Neodiprion lecontei: one gene and its partner. The protein of the gene in region 1 interacts with the protein of each later gene in a biochemical or structural test. Links are inferred from orthologs where the notes say so. Each region holds a gene or a part of one and is shown in the gene's direction. Other genes may lie near its edges. The genes, in order: bromodomain adjacent to zinc finger domain protein 1A and chromatin-remodeling complex ATPase chain Iswi.

Region 1 (9,745 bases):
CTGCGACAAAATTGCCCCAAGTCACGCCCCACACCAGGTGTCGCCTGAAGCTCTTGAAGTATGAAAGAATCAAGGATTACTTGTTGATGGAGGAGGAGTTCATTAGAAATCAGGAGCGACTTAAGCCGCAGGAAGAGAAAAATGAAGAGGAGAGATCCAAGGTCGACGATCTTAGAGGAACGCCGATGTCGGTTGGGACATTGGAGGAAATAATTGACGACAATCACGCCATTGTTTCTACATCTGTAGGGTCCGAGCATTACGTGTCGATTTTGTCATTCGTTGACAAAGATCAGCTGGAGCCAGGATGTTCTGTTTTATTGAATCACAAGGTGCACGCCGTTGTTGGCGTCCTTGGCGATGACACGGATCCGATGGTAACAGTGATGAAGCTCGAGAAAGCCCCGCAAGAAACATACGCCGATATCGGAGGTGAGCTTTTGTATTTTTCAAGCGACGTATCATATATCTTCTCAGAAGCATGCACTGACATCATATTTCTTTCCCAGGTTTGGATACACAAATTCAGGAAATCAAAGAGTCGGTCGAATTGCCCCTCACTCATCCGGAATATTACGAAGAGATGGGAATCAAGCCCCCCAAGGGTGTTATACTCTACGGTTTACCGGGAACGGGTAAAACTCTTCTGGCCAAAGCAGTGGCCAATCAGACATCTGCGACTTTCCTGCGTGTTGTTGGTTCAGAATTGATCCAGAAGTATCTAGGGGATGGCCCGAAACTTGTCAGAGAGCTATTCAGAGTTGCTGAGGAACATGCTCCTTCTATCGTATTCATAGATGAAATTGACGCTGTTGGTACAAAACGATATGACAGCAACAGTGGAGGCGAAAGAGAAATCCAGCGTACTATGCTGGAGCTACTAAACCAACTTGACGGTGAGTAAAAGATTTTGTCTCCATACTGACAGAGAGTCAGTAAAATAACTATTTGTATCTTCAAGTGCTTGATGATGTGCTGATGTTTTACCGCTTATCGGCACTATGTGCAAAAGTGCTAATGTGAATCAATTATTCAAATGGACAGGCTTTGACAGTCGTGGAGATGTCAAAGTAGTGATGGCAACTAATAGAATCGAAACTTTGGATCCGGCACTAATTCGACCCGGACGTATCGATAGAAAGATCGAGTTTCCCCTGCCAGATGAAAAAACCAAGAGGAGAATCTTTAGCATTCACACAAGTAGAATGACATTGGCACCAGATGTAAACCTGGCAGATCTCATCATGGCTAAAGATGACCTATCCGGAGCTGACATAAAGGTGATTATTTTGCAGTAAAAGTAAGATTCTTTGTATGGGTAAAAATGGAAAGTTATAGTTAACTTTTCCCATAGGCGATCTGTACCGAAGCTGGTCTCATGGCTTTACGAGAGCGCCGTATGAAGGTAACCAGCGACGACTTCAAGAAATCCAAGGAGAGTGTGTTGTACCGCAAGAAGGAAGGATCGCCTGAAGGATTATATTTATAATTTAATTTTTCGCTTTCCCTTGTATTTTTTATCAATCGTAATAATACGAAATTCGAATAAATAAATTTTCTTTAACTCAACCAACTTTTGTCAACTATTAATTGATTGGGTTAACTTTACAGGTACAGGACATAATGCTACAAAACTGCATTGTTGATACATGTTACGTGTTTGCTTGTCAATTCGTCAAATTGATGCTGCAGCGTCTCTAGTATCCTTGTAGAATATTTCTTCTGACCATTTCTTATATCCTGCAGCGGCATTTTAACGAAATCATCTGTCTTTACTTTGCTCTTCGTACTTTCATTGCAGACGTAGCAAGCCCCTCGCCTTGTCTTTTCAAGTACATCATCTGTAGCTGGTAGAGTTTGAGAGTCGTTACTCATGGCTGTTGCCAGCCCCTTGTATTTTCCTAATACGAAGGCAGTTTCGAAAGCGTCTTTGTAACCGATGTCAAAACCTTCTTGGAAAACTGATTTCTTTCCTTCTTCAACTCCTTCCCTATAACCGGCCTGAGAAAGTTGATGGACTGTGATCAAGTAATGTTGATTGAAATTCTCGTCATTTCACTACCAGAGAATTCTTACCTTAATTGCTCTATTTATAACTCGATTCCAATTTCTTTCGGAAAGCTCTACTGAATGCTCAATTTCCTCACAGTCATCCATTTCAAGGTTATGTTTCCAATCACTTGACAGTGTCACATAAGTCCCGGGATCTGACACAATCTGTACGATTATTCATTCGATGTACGCATATTACATAATTTATCAAAAATTTGCAAACTGTGTAAGCGGGAGTAAAGTAGTAATTGTAGGGTAGTTCCTCTTTGTTATTCGGAAAGAGAAGAGCAAAGTGTTTAATAATCAATTAAATGCAACTGTTGGTACTTGTTTGTACGACATTACGCCTGATTATATGCGTAATTAAAGGTGTTTTATAAAGCGCCCAATTACATGCAACCAAACGTACACCAAGAACGCCTGATAATGCCCAAGCATGCAACATGCATTTCTCCACATAAAATTCAAAATAGTTATGAATTTATTAATTGAACAAAAATGAAAATAGGAATAGCATGGAGCGTCCAACGTGGGCGAAATGTCGAGAGTACTGAGTCTCGGATTTTAGCTATCCCCTCAATTCCTGTAAATGAAATAAATTGATTATCATGAACAAATCGTTCACGTGACTTGTGTATTTTACCAAATCAGTGGCAATAGTAAGCCCTTTTCCTACAGGGGGCGTACGTCACGTGGGTTCGTCGCCGCAGCCACACGTGTTCGTTGCAAGGTTCGATGGCAATTCATTGCATTGCTTCTAATTCGTTCGTAAGATTTTGAGTCAACGATTAATTATCAAATACTAATGGATGTCAGAGGAGAATTCTCTAGTGAGCGAGAAATAAATAGAATTGTCGATGTGGGTGAATCGCCAGAATTTATCGAAGAAAAGTATGATGCTTTAAGATTAATTGTCAAATAACTGTCAAACAGACCGTTAATAACGTAATAAATAGATAACAATTAACTGTCAAATAGACCGGATATAGCAGCAAATGTTTGTTACGCTTTCAAAGCTCCATAGTTTTCTAACTTTGTATAATGAAATTGAAGGGAACCTGTTAAACGAGATTTTTTGTGCAACAGTGTAAGAGGTACAGCTTTGATTTCAGGATTATCTCCTTGGCTCAAGCAAAGCCGAAGGGCATCTCGGATAAAGACATATCTGCTGAGATTCCAGATCTGGCACCGGCGCGGAAGGCGGCAGCGATAAACAAGCTATTGGCTCAGGGATACTTTGACTTATTCAAGCAGGGTGGAACTCTTCTTTACCGTTTGAAAGATCCGAGCAAGGCTAAATCGGTTAAAGGGGCAGACAACGAGGAGAAAGTTGTTTATAATATAATCGAAGAGGCTGGGAACAAGGGGATATGGATACGCGACATCAGGTTCAAATCCAATTTAATGCCGACGCAGCTGAATAAAATTTTAAAAAGTTTGGAAACTAAGAAGTTCATTAAAGCTGTAAAGTCGGTAGCGGCTAGCAAGAAGAAGGTATATATGCTTTACAACTTGGAGCCTGACAGATCTGTGACCGGAGGCGCGTGGTACCAGGATCAAGACTTTGAGGCAGAATTCGTCGATATTCTAAACCAGCAGTGTTACAGATTTTTGGAGCAAAAAAAAGACAGTACAAAAAACTGCAAGGACGGTCCTATCGGTGCAAGAAATATAGCTTTTGCGTCGTCGAAAGAAGTTTGGAAATTCATTTCCGATCTGGGAATAAGCAAGGTACGGCAACGGGATACCTTTCACTAACTTTTTGCTGTTACTCCTCGATAATACTTTGACTAAATAAATGAAACGATAATATTGCAGGTTAAGCTTTCCGTGGAGGATCTGGAAATGATTTTGAATACCCTTATCTACGACGGCAAAGTGGAAAGAACTCTGTCAAGCGACGGAAGCAACTTGTACCGAGCGGTCGAACCGTTGCTCAGCCCTCCAGGATTAATTAGAACACCTTGCGGTGTTTGTCCGGTATATTTAATGTTGTATAATAAACGAGAAGCGACGAATGATCGTTGAGCATCTTTGAGGTATACTGTATTTTGCTTTCAGGTGAGAAAAAACTGCTGCGACGTGGGAGAAATAACGCCAAAGAAATGTCACTACATCAAGGAATGGTTGGAGTGAAGTTTTGACATCGAAATTCGCGTTGAATCTGTGTATAAATATAGATCCATGAAATGTGAATTTCCGTTTATTCTGCTCTTATTCGAGATCCATCTCTGTAAGCCTGTATTGTACAATTAATTCGTAAACTGCACGGTACGCGTAGTGTCAAAGATGAGAAACAAGGTGGTCGATTGTTGCCGAAATTTTATTCTCCATGATTATAGCAGAGCGTTTCTCCCATGGGGACTATACAAGGAGCACGAAGTCCATGCAACCAAATAGCTGCCTGAAGTAAGATGGCACTGATGTTCCGTATGCACCGAAGGTATTGGACGGATTATAAGGCAGTAGTGAAAACTTTCTACAGATCACAACGCAAGATCACCGATCATTCGATCTTACAATTAGCATCCTTGCAGCCAGAGACAATTCGGTACAAAAGGGACGCTGGCGACGCTAGTGGTACAAAAAACAAACCTGACGTGAACGATTACTATGACAAGTTTTGTCAATTCACCCATTGAGTTCGTGCTCCATGGTCTCTCCCGCCAAATGGCCCCCAGGCGTTTCGGTTTCAAGAGGGACGCAGACGCAAAACGCGGTATCCGGTGAGTCTTGCCAGGTGTGCGCGCTTTCCGAGACACCGTTAAATCGCGCCTTGTCATGAATTTGTACATTTTTATTGAAAAATCGCTTATTCGTCATCCCCGAGGATAGTTAGAGGGTTGCGTAGCGTCCTCGGCAAGACGGTTGTGCGTCCAAGTGGAGATTTAAGGGCGACGGGCGGCCGAAGCGGGGCTGCGGGACGTGTATAATCGGCCAGAACGTAGATCACTTGAGATTGATTTCTGCGGAGAGAGTGTTTCGTGACGAATTAACAAGTCGGGTCAGCTCGCGCCAGCGTCGTCATGCCTCTCCTACGCAAGAAGCTTTTTCACAAGTTGCACGTCTCCTCCGATTTCCGCGACGACGACGAGGTTTTCCACTGCGAGGCGACCAACGAGATCTTCAAAGATTACAAGTTAGTGTTTGACAGCTCGATCATTTTCACCTACGGACAAACGCACTCGCCGCATTTTGTTCTGTAACGTCTCCGACGTCTTCTCCTGCTTTTCAGTGAATTCTGCGAAAGAATTATTCTCTGCAACTCACTCGTCTGGTCCTGTAGTATCACAGGAAAGCCGAATTTCACTTACCAAGAGGCATTGCTCAGCGAGGAAAATGCGAGAAAGAGTCTCAAGGAATTTCCCATGGAGGTAATACACATCAAATGCAACATACACATTCTTCTAACATACCTTTGCTTGGGCAGCAACGAACTTCTTCGAAGCCCCAAGATTCCACTTTTTTTCAGTCACGATCGCTAGGTTTTTTTTTTCTCTTACACCCCCACGACTTTACTAAATCCGAGTGTTTCTTTTCGTGTGAACATAGAAGCTTGATAATGATATTCCGATGAAAGATGTGCCTCGAACGGAGGAAATCCAGTCTGTGATTATACACGTTTTACAAATAACTGCAACATAACCTAGTAATTGAAAATTGTTTATCTGACAATTGATCTTGACTTCGCCGCATAATGCATTGTATTGCATTACGTAACCTGGTTTTAGATTATTACCAGAATCTCGATAACAGTGTCTGAGGTTTAAATTACGTTTGGGTCTTGATTGCAGTTGCGAATTCCAATCTTATACCTGGCGAGCAAAACAAACAGGACTTCACTTAATGAAATGGTCGAGGATGTTTATCAATTCGCACGAGACAGATACTTTGTAGGAGAAATGGTCGAGGCCAGTTTTACCGAAGATGCCTGGTGCGAGTGTCACGTTTTACAGGTCATCGAGCCTACCAAGCAACAGATTAATTCTTACGTAAAAGAAAATAACAGGTATTTGTCAAATCTCGGTTTGGGCAATGGCTTGTCGTTCTTGACCTAACTAGGTGTCTTCTTATCTCCTTGTCTCTTCTTTTAACCATTTACACAAAGAAGCATGCTGGAAAGACAGTATCAACCTCCGGCAAAATTATTTCGCTACGAAGTGGAGCAGTTTGATTGCGGAGGTGACACAGACGTTAGCCAGCTCATGATAGTTGAGGCTTCACAGGTGCGACGACGCAAACAACACTACAGCAGAGAAAGGAATAAGATATTCTTGCGACAACTCTGCGAGCAAGGCGAGACTGGCATATGGATGGTCAAGGTAATCTGTTCAATTTGCTTCATTCTGTGTAATATTTGAATTCGCTTGTTGATTTATTTATTACTAGAGAGGTTCAATAGTCGTTGACAGAATATCTATAAACTCAACCAAGAATGTCAAACGACGTTTCATCTAATGCAATGACTTTGTGACAGATATTTGTGAATGAAACCTCGAATTGGCGTCAGATAATTGGAACAAGCTGACTCATAATTCTACAAATAGATTTGTATTAAGCCTGTAGAAAAATTGACTCAGCATCAACTGGACATTACGGTTGGCATACAGTATTTGTTCTGCCTACATGTTTTGGTTTGCTTGTTGCAGGAGAATGTCTTACAAAAGTATGGCATTCATAAGACTCGATTCGATACGATATTTGCTGGACCCATGCCAGACTTTTCTCCACGTCTCAAGAAACCTATCAAGCACAAGCAGGAGTCTATAGCGAAGTTTCTTACTCCAGATATAGCGAAACATAGGGTCTTTGATAAGCCAGATCCCTTGAAGAAAATAAACGACAGCGGAATAATCGGCAAGAAATCAAAGAAACAAAAGTAAGTTGAAACGTTGAGGACTTGTATGAATTTCCAGATATTTTTTTTTTCCTCACTTTTATGATAACAATCAACTGGAGTTTCACTTTCGTGATACCTTACAAATTTATCACAGTTAATTGTCTGTGCAGGATGAATGGTAAATTTAAAGAAGATCTGAAAGCTAAAGCTCTGGAAGAAAAAGCTCGCCTGAAAGAAGCGAGGCTCGAAGAACGGGGTCGTAAGAAGGAAGAAAAACAAAAGCTTGCAGCTTATGTGAAGGAGTGGAATAAACCCAGAGAAGACTTAGAATGTGAAGATCTCCGACAAATTCCAGATCCGACCCCTGTTAAATGTTTCATTCCCAATGACAAATTTGGCGACTTCGTCATGATATTGGAATTTCTACAATATTTCTATGAAGAGTTAGAAGTTGGCAGTTACTTTCCAGGTGGAGTGAACTTGGACTTGATGGAGAAAGCTCTGTTAGAGAAAGAAGTTGCAGGACCTTGGAGTGACCTCTTGCAACTTTTGCTTGCAAACATTTTTAAATTTCAAGCCGAAGAAGAAGATGAGATCCACGCGGATGCTGCTAATCTAACTGACGATAGAAATATAGACCATGGGGTTTCATCTATGGCCGAAGCCGTGAAATTAGCCACAATAGCCTCATCTTGGTGTCAAACGCACCATGGGTGTCAATTATCCGAGCTGACTTTGGATTACGTTACATTGAGTGAAATTTTACGACAGCATCTCTTGAGTTCTGGCGGTAGGATAAGCGACGTGGCATCTAAGTGGCGCTATTCTCAAAGAGGTAACCAATTATTCGTTTATCTCGATGCACACCTATTTTTGATAGCTATTGCCAATAAAATGAATACAGTCGAATGGTTAATGGGCTGTAGGCATCTGAAATTCCCGTTGAATGATTAATTTCATGCCAACCTGTTATATGATGGAATAAATTGAATTTTAGGTGGCTATACAAATCATGACGATCCAGTACTGCTCTTGAGAATGAAGGAGGCGCATATACTTCGAACTCTGGGCCACATGAATGTCTGCGAATTCGAATTGGATGATCGACTGAAGGTTGTCAGTTGTTTGATTAATCAGTTGCTTACGTTTGCATCTATTCGCGACGTGATCGATGAAAGATACGACAAACTGCATCAAGCAAAGAAGAAACTCAAGTTATTCCTGATAGCTGAGCAAAAGAAAGAAAAGGAAGAGAGGGAGAGAATGAAGGAGAGAGAGAAAGAGGGAAGAGTAGAGGAGGAAGAGCAGAAACCTAAGAAAATAACGAGAGGAAATTACGAGGACGAAAAAAAGAAGGGGGAATACGAAAACAAGCTGAAAGAACTACAGACCGCATCTCGAGATGATCAAATGATGCTTTATCTAGGCTCGGATAGGGCACATAGGAGGTACTGGAGGTTCCTATCTATACCAGGTACGGAATTGTCTTTGATGTGCATAACGTCTGACACATTTTTAATTTCTTATTCCTTTCATGGATCCTAATCGCTATATTCATTCAAACTCTAGGTTTATTTGTGGAGAACGATGAAAGATGGCCGGGTGCTTGTCTGCCCGGGGGTACTCCCTACAAACCGGAGCTTCAAGATGAGTCCGGAGAGGCGATGTATGCGTATTTGAAGAAGAAATTTAAAGACGAATCCAGCGATAAAGAAAACAGTATTAAGGAGCTGAAGAAGTCTCCGAAAAAAGTTGCCTTTTCTGACAAAAACGGATTAAAATCACCGCGAAAAGATCTTAGTCCTAAGAAAGAAGTAAAGGTAGATTTCAGTGATATTAGACAAAACTTGAACGTATGTACAGGAGATCAAACTTGCCCCATCCATTGTGTCACGGCTAGACCGCAGTGGAGTTTTTACGGCTTGCAAGAAAGCATTGACAGTGTAATTAATGCGTTAAATAAGAGGGGAATCAGAGAAGGTGAACTCAGACAGACTTTGATTCAAGAAGCAACGAGCTTAACGACAGTCATTGCCGAATGTCCCCGACACAAGTTAAATCCCGAAGTGGTCAGTACCTACATTTTTTGCCAATTAAAAATGAAAAACTTGATTTTTTGTGGAATTTATCTATGTCCATCTTTTTATTCTGTCCTTTTTTTGTTCTCTCTCAGTATATGGAGCCGATCAAAGAGCCGACGAATAAGAATCACAGGAAAAATAAGTACGATAATGTTAATCTGACTTTCCCACCGGGTACCAACATTGAGGAGGTACTAGAATTAACGTTACGGGACTATATACTCGACCTAGAGGATAAAATCAAAGTTGGATGTCTGGGATCCTTGAAAGTCATCAGCCGAGAGGTCTGGAGAACGGCGATAAACAAGCGTGGTTATGATAAACAGTGCGACAAGTTGGTTTACGGATTGAACGACATTGAGGCAGACACTGCGTCGAATCTTGTCCTGGATAAAATAAAGAATGAGAACAGGGTGAGCAGACCCGGGACCCCGGATTCTGAAATCAGTAGCAGCGGTGTTAAAATTTATCGGGATCCAGGAAGATATCTAGGACCACCGTTTGAAGACGAACCTGTGCCAGATCCGAATCAGCAAATTGCCATCAAACAATTAGCCTGCGCTATCTTACAAATATCGCACGCAATTGAACCGAAATATCTTAAAAAACCATTGGGTGTAGATGACAAGGACAAGAAACCAGCTAGCGAAGACATAGGCAGAGATAGGTGGGAACAATCGCTGATGGCTTCGACGAGTTGGTCCCAGTTGTTTGTGCATATGAGCACCTTGGAGAACAGCGTTGCATGGGCCAGAAGTGCTTTGAATGCGCA
Region 2 (11,288 bases), on another chromosome or scaffold:
TGGTTGACATAAATCAATTCCAATTCAGATGGTCTAATGTAAGGAACAACACCAAGTTCACTATAATTATCAATAGGTAAAAGGACCTTCAAACTATTTTCACCTATCTCTCTGACAGAACATGGTAAGTAATGTCCAACTCTTAGGTTTTTAAAGGCTGTTAATTCATCGAGCGGTACGAATGTTGTAGTCAAAATTATACTTGGAGTGGTGGAGAACACACTTGCTATTATTTCATCCCCTGGAGTGCATCTGGCAGCTAATAAGCTCGCTACTTCCAAGCTAGGTGACATGTGCGCAGCTGGCAGAAATCCAGTTTCTAAATTCTTGTGATTACACGTGGAATGAATCTCAACGTAGACTCCTTGTGAAGAAGATTCTGTGATGATACATTTGACAGTTTCACCAACACGTAATTTATTACTAGGATTCTTCTGTATGCCAATCAAGCTCAGGCTCATTTTATTATCTTTTTTATCTATTGTCACAATTGTTGCAGGAACTACTTGGCCGATCGAAAATTTCTGCTTAATCTCAGTTTTTTTGCAGCCAAGCAAATTCGGAGGGGCCCAGCCCTTCAAGTCTCCGAAAAATTTTATCAAAAGTCCAGTATTTTTTACTTGCACAATGGTACCATGATGCTGGGAACCAACAGCTGCATCCTTAATATTATTTAAGATTGGTAAATTGCTATTAACTAATGACTGCTTCATTGTGAATAAAACTCTATTTCGTTGGTCGTCACGGTTTAAAGCTCTTACTTTCACCGACTGGCCGACTTTGAGTTCATATATCATATTCTTATCAATATCAGAAACATGTTCAGGGGGCACGTACCCTTTACTTTTATTAACTTTCAATGTGACAGATCCATAAGCTACATCAATTTTTGTTACTTCTGCAGTCACCAGTTCTCCAGGAGCAAAACTAGTAGCCGTAAAATATTCTTCGTTCAATATATTCTTTTCCATACTGCAAATATAGACTCTGTCGAAGCAATCGTAATTCAATACTCGACACTTATGTTTAGACTTGGGTTTAAATGTGGAATTAATCTTCTCGAAGTCAACTTCGGTTCTTCGCATGGGTATATAACCCCTGAACTTTTTTTGCAATTCTAGGAGAATCCCTTTTTGCTCCTTGCACATTACTGTGGCGTTTGTTATAATATCACCAATGTTCAATTTTTCAGTTTCACTTTCTTCCGTCAACAGACTGAAATATGCAAATTTTACAGTTGGCAGAACATACAAGAGCGTACCATGGACCGATTCATCTGTCTCATACGAAGATAATGGATTATCCAAGTAAATCTGATTGATGTAACCGATGTTACTTTCATTATACAGCACCTGCAATCCATTTGACAGAACGCTTTTGATAGTGAGAACCAATTTTGTTCCAGGTACTAGAGCATCTAATAACTGTGTATCCTGAGAAACTGCTTTGCTGCTGTGTTTTTCTTTTGCAGATAACTTGAGTGTCGATGCTGACTCCGACGTTTCAACCGTTTTAATTGCCAAAAAGAGTTGCTGTCCTATAACTTAGAAGAAATTAATTACTTTTCAACTAAGAATCACAAAATGGGGAATTTTTAATTTTTGTATTGATTTTCACACTAGTTTATGGTACTGAGATGAAACGTGCGAATCGGTCTTGTATATATACAAGACCGCATTCTGTTACTTTTGCACTAATTGATTTGTCAATTTCAGAATTCAATATCCGTTCAAGCTTGTTCAAAATTGTGACAAATAATAAATAAAAAGTGACAGGATTCCAACTTACAGTATTCTTTTTCTTCATCAACATCTTTAGAAGTTAAAAAAGCTCTGACATTAGCAACCCCAGTGTCAATGATATAGCCATGTTCTTCAATACTGGATACAGTGCCAACAATCTTCGATTTTGGGATGATCCGAGTGCGATCCAGATTTTGATTTATTAGTTCTGGTTCCAGGGACAAAGAGACTCTCCACTTCTCTGTCAAGTGCAGTTGCTTGACATAACAGACCAAGTAGTCACCAGGTTTGAATAACTCTGTCAGTGGTTTATAACCCTCAGGTTTGTCATCTTGTACGCTGATCATACTTTGCAATAACTTTGTGTACGAATTGCTGATGTCTGTAAGCTCCAATCGACCGATTAATCGTCCAGGAAGCGATACAATCAAGTCATAATCCCTGGCCTCTCGAATACGACCCAGGACAACCATTCCTTGTGTTAACGTAGTATAATTCAAACAGTCCGCTGATGTTGCCAATATATTTGTGGTATGCAAATCTGCATAATTAGTAATGGCAAAATTATCCTTGTGGATTCTTAGTTTTGATCTTGGCTTTTTTTTCAATTCCTATAAACATACATCAAGTTTTGGCGATATGAGCATTACAGGGGAGGGCAGGGGTGATAAACTGAAAAAACTTACATTATTTGCGTGTACATTTTTTAGGGGTTTGCGGCCTCCGCGTGGAAAATTTTTTAACGTCATCTGTAACTTAATTTTAAGGTTAGACACATGAATTCTATTTTGCCCTAAACAGTTAATATGTTTGTACGGAATGCAAATAAAATATAATAAAAACAATCACAATTCCGAGCAATAGTGCCTACTTTTTATTTCTTCGGGTTAACGTATCTATAAAATATGTGTTCAAATAACACACGCACGGATTTTCCCAAGTCCGAACATTCAACTCACACTGGATGCTTAATTTTAGGTTATGTCGGTTTCGGCAGCGTCGGCTGCATGCATACGAGGAAAGGTTCGCGCATGGTCAACTTAACTCCGTGGGTGCGTTCCAAAACCTAACCCTAGAGTTGAGTTAAGTTGAGTTGGGTTCATAAGGGTACAATCAGCTGATTCTCAAGACGCGCAAATATTTAAATTAAAAATGGGGGTTATCGTTGCGAAGGAAATTGCAGCGGGAGTATATGATTTGATGGCGAACTCTGAGAGTTCTTGATCTGAAGACAATGATGATGATTTAGTGCTTGAAGCAATATTCCATTCCGAACTCATCAATGACCCCCCTGCGAGAATTCGCAATTACCTAGATATTATTTCGCAATACTCGCATACAGATTTCAAAAGGCATTTTTGCTTATCTCGAACAACGGTAGAATATTTGCACCAAAGTATTGGACACCAATTGGAAAACTAAAACACAGGTCAGTTCGCAAACAGCTACATTACATCTAACATGCAAGTTACTTTGTGCAAGTGCAACACTAGGGCGTTCCCATACTCGACTACTATCGAATTTCAATCTTGGCGCAAAAACACTGAACCCATCTCCATCTAACCCTGCTCTAGGCAGGGTTCATTTCAATTAGCTCGGAGTCACCCGGAGTTGCCACCTCGCAAGTTTCGGAACTATCAGAGTTTACGACCTATATTTAGACTTACAGGTTTGGAACGCGTAGAGTTGGCCAGAGTTGACTACAGTTGGGTTTGGAACGCACCCCTTGCTTAAGCTGTTTTTAAATATGTGTCAGGCAGGGATTATATAAACGTAATGGATGATGATTCATAAATGAGTGAATTACTTCACACTTTGTACATAAATAATGTTGAATATTTTATTTGCTAAATATTCTATCAACAATTAATTAACTATACAAGTTTCTACGATAATATTTTGCTTTACACATACATAATATTACTATGTACATGGATATAAATTATGTGTATATCGCATAGATACGCATATATTTTTCAAATTCATAAATAGCTACACTATCAATAACAGTCCTTTGGATTCATTTACTGCAATAAAATGAGGTAAGCCAGTTACAGATGTGATATGACTTATGTAAAGTTAATACACTAACAGACACTGTGGATAGCTGTAAATACTTTAAATAATTATGAGCATTGAATCAAAATGCCAAAAGTAATTTTAATTGCTTCTTTCGCTTTTCAGAGCCAAGTTAACTAATATTACATGTACCTTCACTGAAAAAATGTTTGTTGGCGTACCTATAAGTTGGTCGAATTTTCTAAAGCTTTTGGACCCATTGGATCTTGTATGGAATCATTAGCATTAAAATCAAGATTTGCAGGTGGGATGAGCGCAGCTGCAACAAATCTTCCTTCAGCATTAAGGAAATTGAATATAGGACAAGCTTGGCATGTTGGAACGATCTCCATGTTCATTTTGAATTTTTTGGCAAACAGAGCCAGCTTCTTGTCAACTTTAATGTTACTATGAGGGTCACCAGTTCCAATTACTAAAATGTCTGGTTTTGGATCAAGAATAGTAAATAGCGACAGAGTTTCCTCGTTGACATCATCTATAGTATTAACCTTCCAACTCAGTACGCTTCTTGGAAATATTGCAAGTGATCCAATGATACTAATGCCATTGTTTAAACGAAATCCAATCTACAACAAGAATTTTGTTAAGCTCTGTATTGGTACAAACGTTAATTTTATCCAAAAAACAAAGAAATATAATAGCTATACCTTGCTGTAGGAATTTATCATGAGTCCATAGACTTCGTCCCTGTTAAGAATAGATATCGTCGTTTTTCCATCACCTTCGTAAGCACTTTTGCAAATGATTGATGAACTATGAATTTTCCTATAACAATTGATCGGTATTGGTAAGAATAATTTACAAAAGACGTGCAAATACAAAATATAATAAAAATCATTCACACATTTGAATTCGAGTAACTCACCTAATAGTTTGTCTCATGTTTGCCGAAATTATACGGCTAAATATGAAGGTAGTCGTCATCGTTTGCAGGTACAAAAAACACTCTTACGAAAAAATTGATAATTTATTTTCATGAAGTTTGAGGTTACATTGAATTTGAAATTGTATCTTAAGGTTATTTAAGGTTACGTTCTTGGACTTTGGGAGGTTATAGGAACCTACCGGTTTCGACGGACGCGTAAAGTGACGTCATTGGTCTTTTTCGTTCGCTAATCTCGAACTAATACTACTAAAGCCACTCGGCGGTGCGAGTCGCGCCAGTCCACTATCCAGTGAAGAGATCTGTGTTTCCGTTAGATCGGCCTAAAATCCGGTGTGGACACGGCTGAAAGCTTCATTATTCTGCTTCACGCCGTACATGCAACGCTGCAAAGGTCTACCATTTCACTCACGTTGTGTATATACTTTTGAAAGTCGAAATAAAGCTCGACCTGCTACAGTTTGTGGCAATTTGAAGACTACCACTAGTCATTAGAGTTACGTGCGATGGTTTAGTACTAATCATTTAATTACTGGCTGGTCAAGCTGACAGTGATTGCGGACATAAGTTAGTTTTGGAGGGAGTTGAAGCGTTAAAATGGCGATGAGCCTTTGGTTGATTCGTCGGTGAACACGGCATACTACACACAATACCGGTGAATAATCTGGCGTTGGGTAGGCGCTTCAAGTATTTTATTGAATAAATCAAGCAAGAAATTGACCTCAGCGACGAAAAATGTCCAAGCCGGAGACGGAAAATGCCGACGCTGTCGAAACGGGGGAGAATTCAAACGGATCGTCAGCAGAAACAACATCTTCTAGGGGTGGCGATTTCGAAACCAAACTGGAGACCGACAGGAGCAAGAGGTTTGATTACCTACTAAAACAGACCGAAATTTTTTCTCATTTTATGACGAATAATCAGAAAGACAAAAGTGTCAGTCCTCTTAAAGTTAAAGCTGGGAGACCTAGGAAGCAGCCCGAGATTCCTGTCAAAGGTGACACGTCGGCTGATCTCAGACATCGAAAAACAGAGCAAGAAGAAGATGAAGAGCTCCTTGCTGAGAGCAATGTCAGTGTTGCGCCAACGACTCGTTTCGAGTCATCCCCCCATTATATAAAATCAGGAGAGCTGAGGGACTACCAGATTCGTGGTCTTAACTGGATGATTTCGCTCTATGAGAATGGAATCAACGGTATACTGGCAGATGAAATGGGTCTTGGAAAAACCCTTCAGACGATTTCATTGCTAGGATACATGAAGCATTTCCGCAGCATTCCAGGACCTCACATTGTAATTGTCCCAAAGTCAACGCTAGCCAACTGGATGAATGAATTTAAGAAATGGTGTCCCTCGCTGAGAGCTGTTTGTCTGATTGGAGACGCTGAGACAAGGAACACGTTCATCAGAGACGTAATGATGCCAGGGGAGTGGGATGTCTGCGTAACGTCTTATGAAATGGTAATAAAGGAGAAATCAGTATTCAAAAAGTTTAACTGGAGGTATATGGTAATCGATGAGGCTCATAGGATAAAAAATGAGAAATCAAAGTTATCAGAAATTTTGCGCGAGTTTAAGACTGCCAATAGACTTTTACTCACCGGCACACCGTTACAAAATAATCTTCACGAGCTATGGTCACTCTTAAACTTCTTATTACCAGACGTGTTCAACAGCTCAGACGACTTTGACTCCTGGTTCAACACCAACAGTTTTCTTGGAGATAATTCTTTGGTTGAAAGGCTGCATGCTGTCTTAAGACCATTCCTTCTTAGACGCCTCAAGGCTGAAGTAGAGAAGGGACTTAAGCCTAAAAAAGAAATCAAAGTTTACATTGGACTGAGTAAAATGCAGAGGGAATGGTATACCAAAGTGCTAATGAAGGATATCGACATTGTAAACGGTGCTGGAAAAATTGAAAAAATGAGATTACAAAACATTCTTATGCAGCTACGAAAGTGCTGCAATCATCCATATTTGTTTGACGGAGCTGAGCCGGGCCCTCCGTATACCACTGACGAACATTTAGTTTATAATTGTGGAAAGATGGTGATCCTTGATAAACTACTGCCAAAATTGAAGCAGCAAGACTCGAGGATATTAATATTTAGTCAAATGACTAGGATGCTTGATATTCTTGAAGATTATTGCCATTGGAGAAGTTTTCAATATTGCCGATTGGATGGTAACACGGCTCATGAAGATCGACAGCGGCAAATAAATGAATATAATGCTCCCGGGAGCGAAAAGTTCATTTTCATGTTATCCACAAGAGCAGGAGGTCTTGGTATTAATTTAGCTACGGCTGACGTAGTTATTATTTATGATTCTGATTGGAATCCTCAAATGGATCTGCAAGCTATGGATCGAGCACATCGAATCGGCCAACAGAAACAAGTGCGAGTGTTCAGGTTCATAACTGAGAATACAGTAGAGGAAAAGATTGTCGAACGTGCCGAGGTCAAGTTGCGCTTGGATAAACTTGTTATTCAGCAGGGCAGACTAGTAGATGCGAAACAAACAGCTTTGAACAAGGATGAGATGCTCAACATGATTAGACATGGTGCTAATGAAGTATTTGCTTCTAAAGACAGTGCCATAACGGATGAAGATATTGATACGATACTTCAGAAAGGAGAAGCTAAAACAGAGGAAATGAAACAGAAGTTGGAAAATTTGGGTGAATCATCCTTGAGAAATTTTACAGTAGATGCACCGACCGATTCAGTCTACCAATTTGAAGGTGAGGATTATAGGGAGAAGCAGAAAATATTAGGTATAGGCAACTGGATTGAGCCGCCTAAACGCGAGAGAAAGGCAAATTATGCAGTCGATGCTTACTTCAGAGAAGCGCTAAGAGTCTCAGAGCCAAAAGCTCCAAAGGCACCAAGACCTCCGAAACAACCAATTGTTCAAGATTTCCAATTTTTTCCGCCACGATTGTTTGAGCTACTCGATCAAGAAATATATTACTTCAGACAAACAGTTGGGTACAAAGTACCAAAAAACCCTGAACTTGGATCTGACGCAGGAAGGATTCAAAAGGAAGAGCAGCGAAAAATTGACGAAGCTCAGCCACTTACAGACGAGGAATTGACAGAGAAAGAAAAACTGCTTACTCAGGGATTCACAAACTGGACGAAGAGGGATTTCAACCAATTCATAAAGGCTAATGAAAAATATGGTCGAGATGACATTGAGAATATTGCCAAAGATGTTGAAGGAAAATCTCCTGAAGAAGTAATGGAGTATTCTGCTGTCTTTTGGGAACGTTGCCACGAACTTCAAGACATTGACAGAGTAATGGCTCAGATAGAGCGAGGAGAAGCAAAAATTCAGAGACGTGCCGGTATAAAGAAAGCTCTGGATGCAAAAATGGCCAGATATAGAGCACCATTCCATCAGCTAAGAATAGCCTATGGAACAAACAAGGGAAAAAATTATACCGAAGAAGAGGACAGATTCCTTGTATGCATGTTGCATAAACTTGGATTTGACAAAGAAAATGTATACGAAGAACTCAGAGCAACCGTAAGATCTGCACCACAATTTCGCTTCGATTGGTTTGTCAAGTCAAGAACAGCTCTAGAACTCCAACGAAGATGTAACACTTTGATAACGCTAATTGAACGTGAAAATCTAGAGCTTGAAGAAAGAGAGAGACAAGAGAGACGAAAGAAGGGTGGAAGTATTGGATCAAAACCAGCGTCCAAACGGAAGCAAGAGAATCTTCCAGCACCTCAAGATAAACCTAGGAAGAAGAAGAAGTAAATGTACTTTTCATGAACTATGCAACACAATTTCAGTTTATCTAAATTTTAATAAGTTCCAATATCACTTTAAGTTTATTACAGTGGCTGAACTCACGTCGGACACAGGTTGTTCAGGTTAAAATAATTCGACATTATAATCTTTAGGGTCATCTATTATCAAACCACTGTAAACATAAATTAAAAAAATTTTAATTTTTTAACTGCACGTTAATTAAATCTTATAAAATAACTTCTATTAATTGTGTCGTTATGTGAAGTGAGGGGCACCAATTATACAAATTCAATACATTCTTCTAGACAACCTATTTACTTGTCACAAATAACTTGTTTGCCTGTAAAAAGAAGCGATAAACAGCAAATTTCATTTATATGAAGAACACCTTCTTTCCGTGAAGTCTTACGTAATGTTTAGAAGTAACGTCTTTTCTAACTAGAACAGTACATTGTCACACACGTTTGGAACCATAGTTATTTATGAAATATGCATGTAAAACAAAGAAATGCTCTAATTGTTAACGCTGAAAGATTTAATTAAACATCAATCATATTTACAACATTGTCAAATTCAGTGTTCTCTGTACTCTCACTTAGAATTAATTTACTTGGTAAAACTTGGGGATTTGATTCACGATTGATTGGTACGAAGAATTTTGTTTACTATCACGTTTATTGGATTTAAGAATTCTTATCGAGGAGCAGAGTAAATAAAAAGTATGAAATAAGATACATATGTATTATTTAATTTATATCCTAAATTATTTCACAATTTATAATATTTCTATAATTACATATATAATACATATATGTATAATAGTAACAAATATCTTGCAGTGAACACACGTCATTCGTACGTAGCGTAAATACTTGAGAACTATTAAATTATCCTCGTAATCGTCTTCATATAAATATAATAAAAATGAACTGTTTGATTTAAAGAAAGCATAATTTTGTAATACATATCGACAAATCAATTGCATTTTTTACGATCAAGATTTTATCTGTAATTATCTGTGTGCAAAACATAAAAATTGAATATTTAAATGTACCGTCTCTACTGCCAAAATATCTCATCCTATACAAGCATATTAGAGATTATTACGGTAATTATGATACTACCCTACATAATCGTACAGAAATAAATGAATATAGTATGCACATAGAATGTGTGACCAGGTATAATACATATATAGGTGAATCCTATATACCTATAAATGCGTTTACACATACTATGAATACGAATACGTATGTTTTTGACAGTAGTTATAATTGTGATAATTACGCGAGTAATCTTTTATGCAATCTTATATTACGCATTTATTTCACACGTGTACGTAATAAATACCGCATTAGCGGTGCGAGATTTGTACATTATTTGTACAAATCTTGAAACTCTCACTCCTTCTCTAAATTGTTTGTATACCGTTCTATAAAACAGTAGATATTACAATTAAAATTGATTATTCATTTCATTCACTTCAGATCATCCCAATATCATCTCATGTAGAATTCTATCAAACTACACACCCATAGTTTTCATTTAGTTATGGCAAGGGCCGGCCCTTCTCGCAATATATTTAAAATATTGAAAGACATCGCATGAAAAGCTAATTACAACAGAATCTGAAAGTACTGGGTATTCAGAAATTTCTAAATTCACCAAGTAGAATAGTGTGATTAATCCCAGATATTGATATGCATAGCACTTCTAATTCATTGAAGCACGTAAGTATTACAACATGTCCAAATTTATCTTTCACGTATCTCTTTATTCATCACTGACAATGAGCTATTTCAGATTGGTCATTTTCAGGTTCTGTTGCACTTTAGTATGTCTAATAACGAAAGAAAAACATTTTCTTAATTCATAAACAACTTGATATAATATCTTCTCAACACATCCGATTACTAGGCTTCACAGTGCTTCATGAGAATGAGGGGGTAGTAAGGTTCCAATATTTTTTCATAGTACTAATCAACTCGGGCAAAAGTAGTTATACACTAGGGTGTCCGTTATTTTTATCGTTTTTTTTTTTTTTTTTATCAAAAGTTTGAATGTAAAATACATTGATATTTTCGAAGATTTTTTTTTTTTCATAAACTCAAATGAACTGAAAAAATCTATCCGATGCTTGAGAACAACGTTTCGATTTCCAACTAAACGTAGGAATGAAATAATTTCGGTGAGTGCACATATTCTATAGAGAAGGACACTCAATAAAACCGTAATAGTTATGGTTTTGTGAAGTATAAGAGAGTTTTGAGATTCCATGTGTATTTTTATGTTCCTATGTTGAAAGTATAAACATTGCTCAAACATCAAACTAATTTTGTCAGTACATTCTAGTTTGTGAAAAAAAGTAAGTAACTGGCAAAAGTAGTGGGATTTTAGGGAAAAATGGACTGCTTTAGGGTACATTTAGGAAAGCCTTCAGGTTTACAGTGTTTATAGGAGAAGCAAAGAAAATAGGATACCTTTAGGGAACTAGGCGAACACTGTGTAGCCTGGATTACGGAAAAACGTCATTTAAATTAAGAAAAATTAAAAGTAAATAAACCGTCACACGATTACAATTAAAAATCTAAATTTCTCATTGTGTTTTAACTGTGTTTGCTTTTTTTTCGCCGTTAAACATTATACATATATCAGTGTCAATACATTTCGAGATAAACCATTTCTATATATTACGTGAGATGCCTAGCGTTCAATATAATGTAATGTTAGTATTTTCGAATGACCATCATATCGTGGATTATCTATAGTTCAAAATTCATTTAAGAATTAATAATAACAATAGTAATACTGGTACAACG

Evidence for each region.
Region 2: the proteins of bromodomain adjacent to zinc finger domain protein 1A (region 1) and chromatin-remodeling complex ATPase chain Iswi form a complex in vitro, tested with the Drosophila melanogaster proteins (3 studies listed by BioGRID). The link is inferred for Neodiprion lecontei from reciprocal best matches to the Drosophila melanogaster genes Acf and Iswi.

Annotation. Positions count from the first base shown.
Region 1 is NC_060266.1:592,018-601,762, forward strand, and holds the start of bromodomain adjacent to zinc finger domain protein 1A, read left to right. Parts: upstream 1-4,742; 5' UTR 4,743-5,078; coding exon 5,079-5,191; intron 5,192-5,287; coding exon 5,288-5,426; intron 5,427-5,846; coding exon 5,847-6,061; intron 6,062-6,160; coding exon 6,161-6,374; intron 6,375-6,701; coding exon 6,702-6,931; intron 6,932-7,062; coding exon 7,063-7,727; intron 7,728-7,889; coding exon 7,890-8,366; intron 8,367-8,461; coding exon 8,462-8,961; intron 8,962-9,065; coding exon 9,066-9,745. Other genes in the region: 26S proteasome regulatory subunit 4, read left to right, coding at 1-432, 510-896, 1,045-1,280, 1,355-1,489; uncharacterized protein LOC107216885, read right to left, coding at 1,627-2,001, 2,077-2,157; probable DNA-directed RNA polymerase III subunit RPC6, read left to right, coding at 2,858-2,943, 3,165-3,783, 3,871-4,032, 4,114-4,188.
Region 2 is NC_060263.1:31,591,776-31,603,063, forward strand, and holds chromatin-remodeling complex ATPase chain Iswi, read left to right. Parts: upstream 1-5,081; 5' UTR 5,082-5,439; coding exon 5,440-8,475; 3' UTR 8,476-9,203; downstream 9,204-11,288. Other genes in the region: protein RRP5 homolog, read right to left, coding at 1-1,543, 1,789-2,353, 2,429-2,491; NADH dehydrogenase [ubiquinone] 1 alpha subcomplex assembly factor 3, read right to left, coding at 3,983-4,387, 4,469-4,586, 4,687-4,768, 4,887-4,917.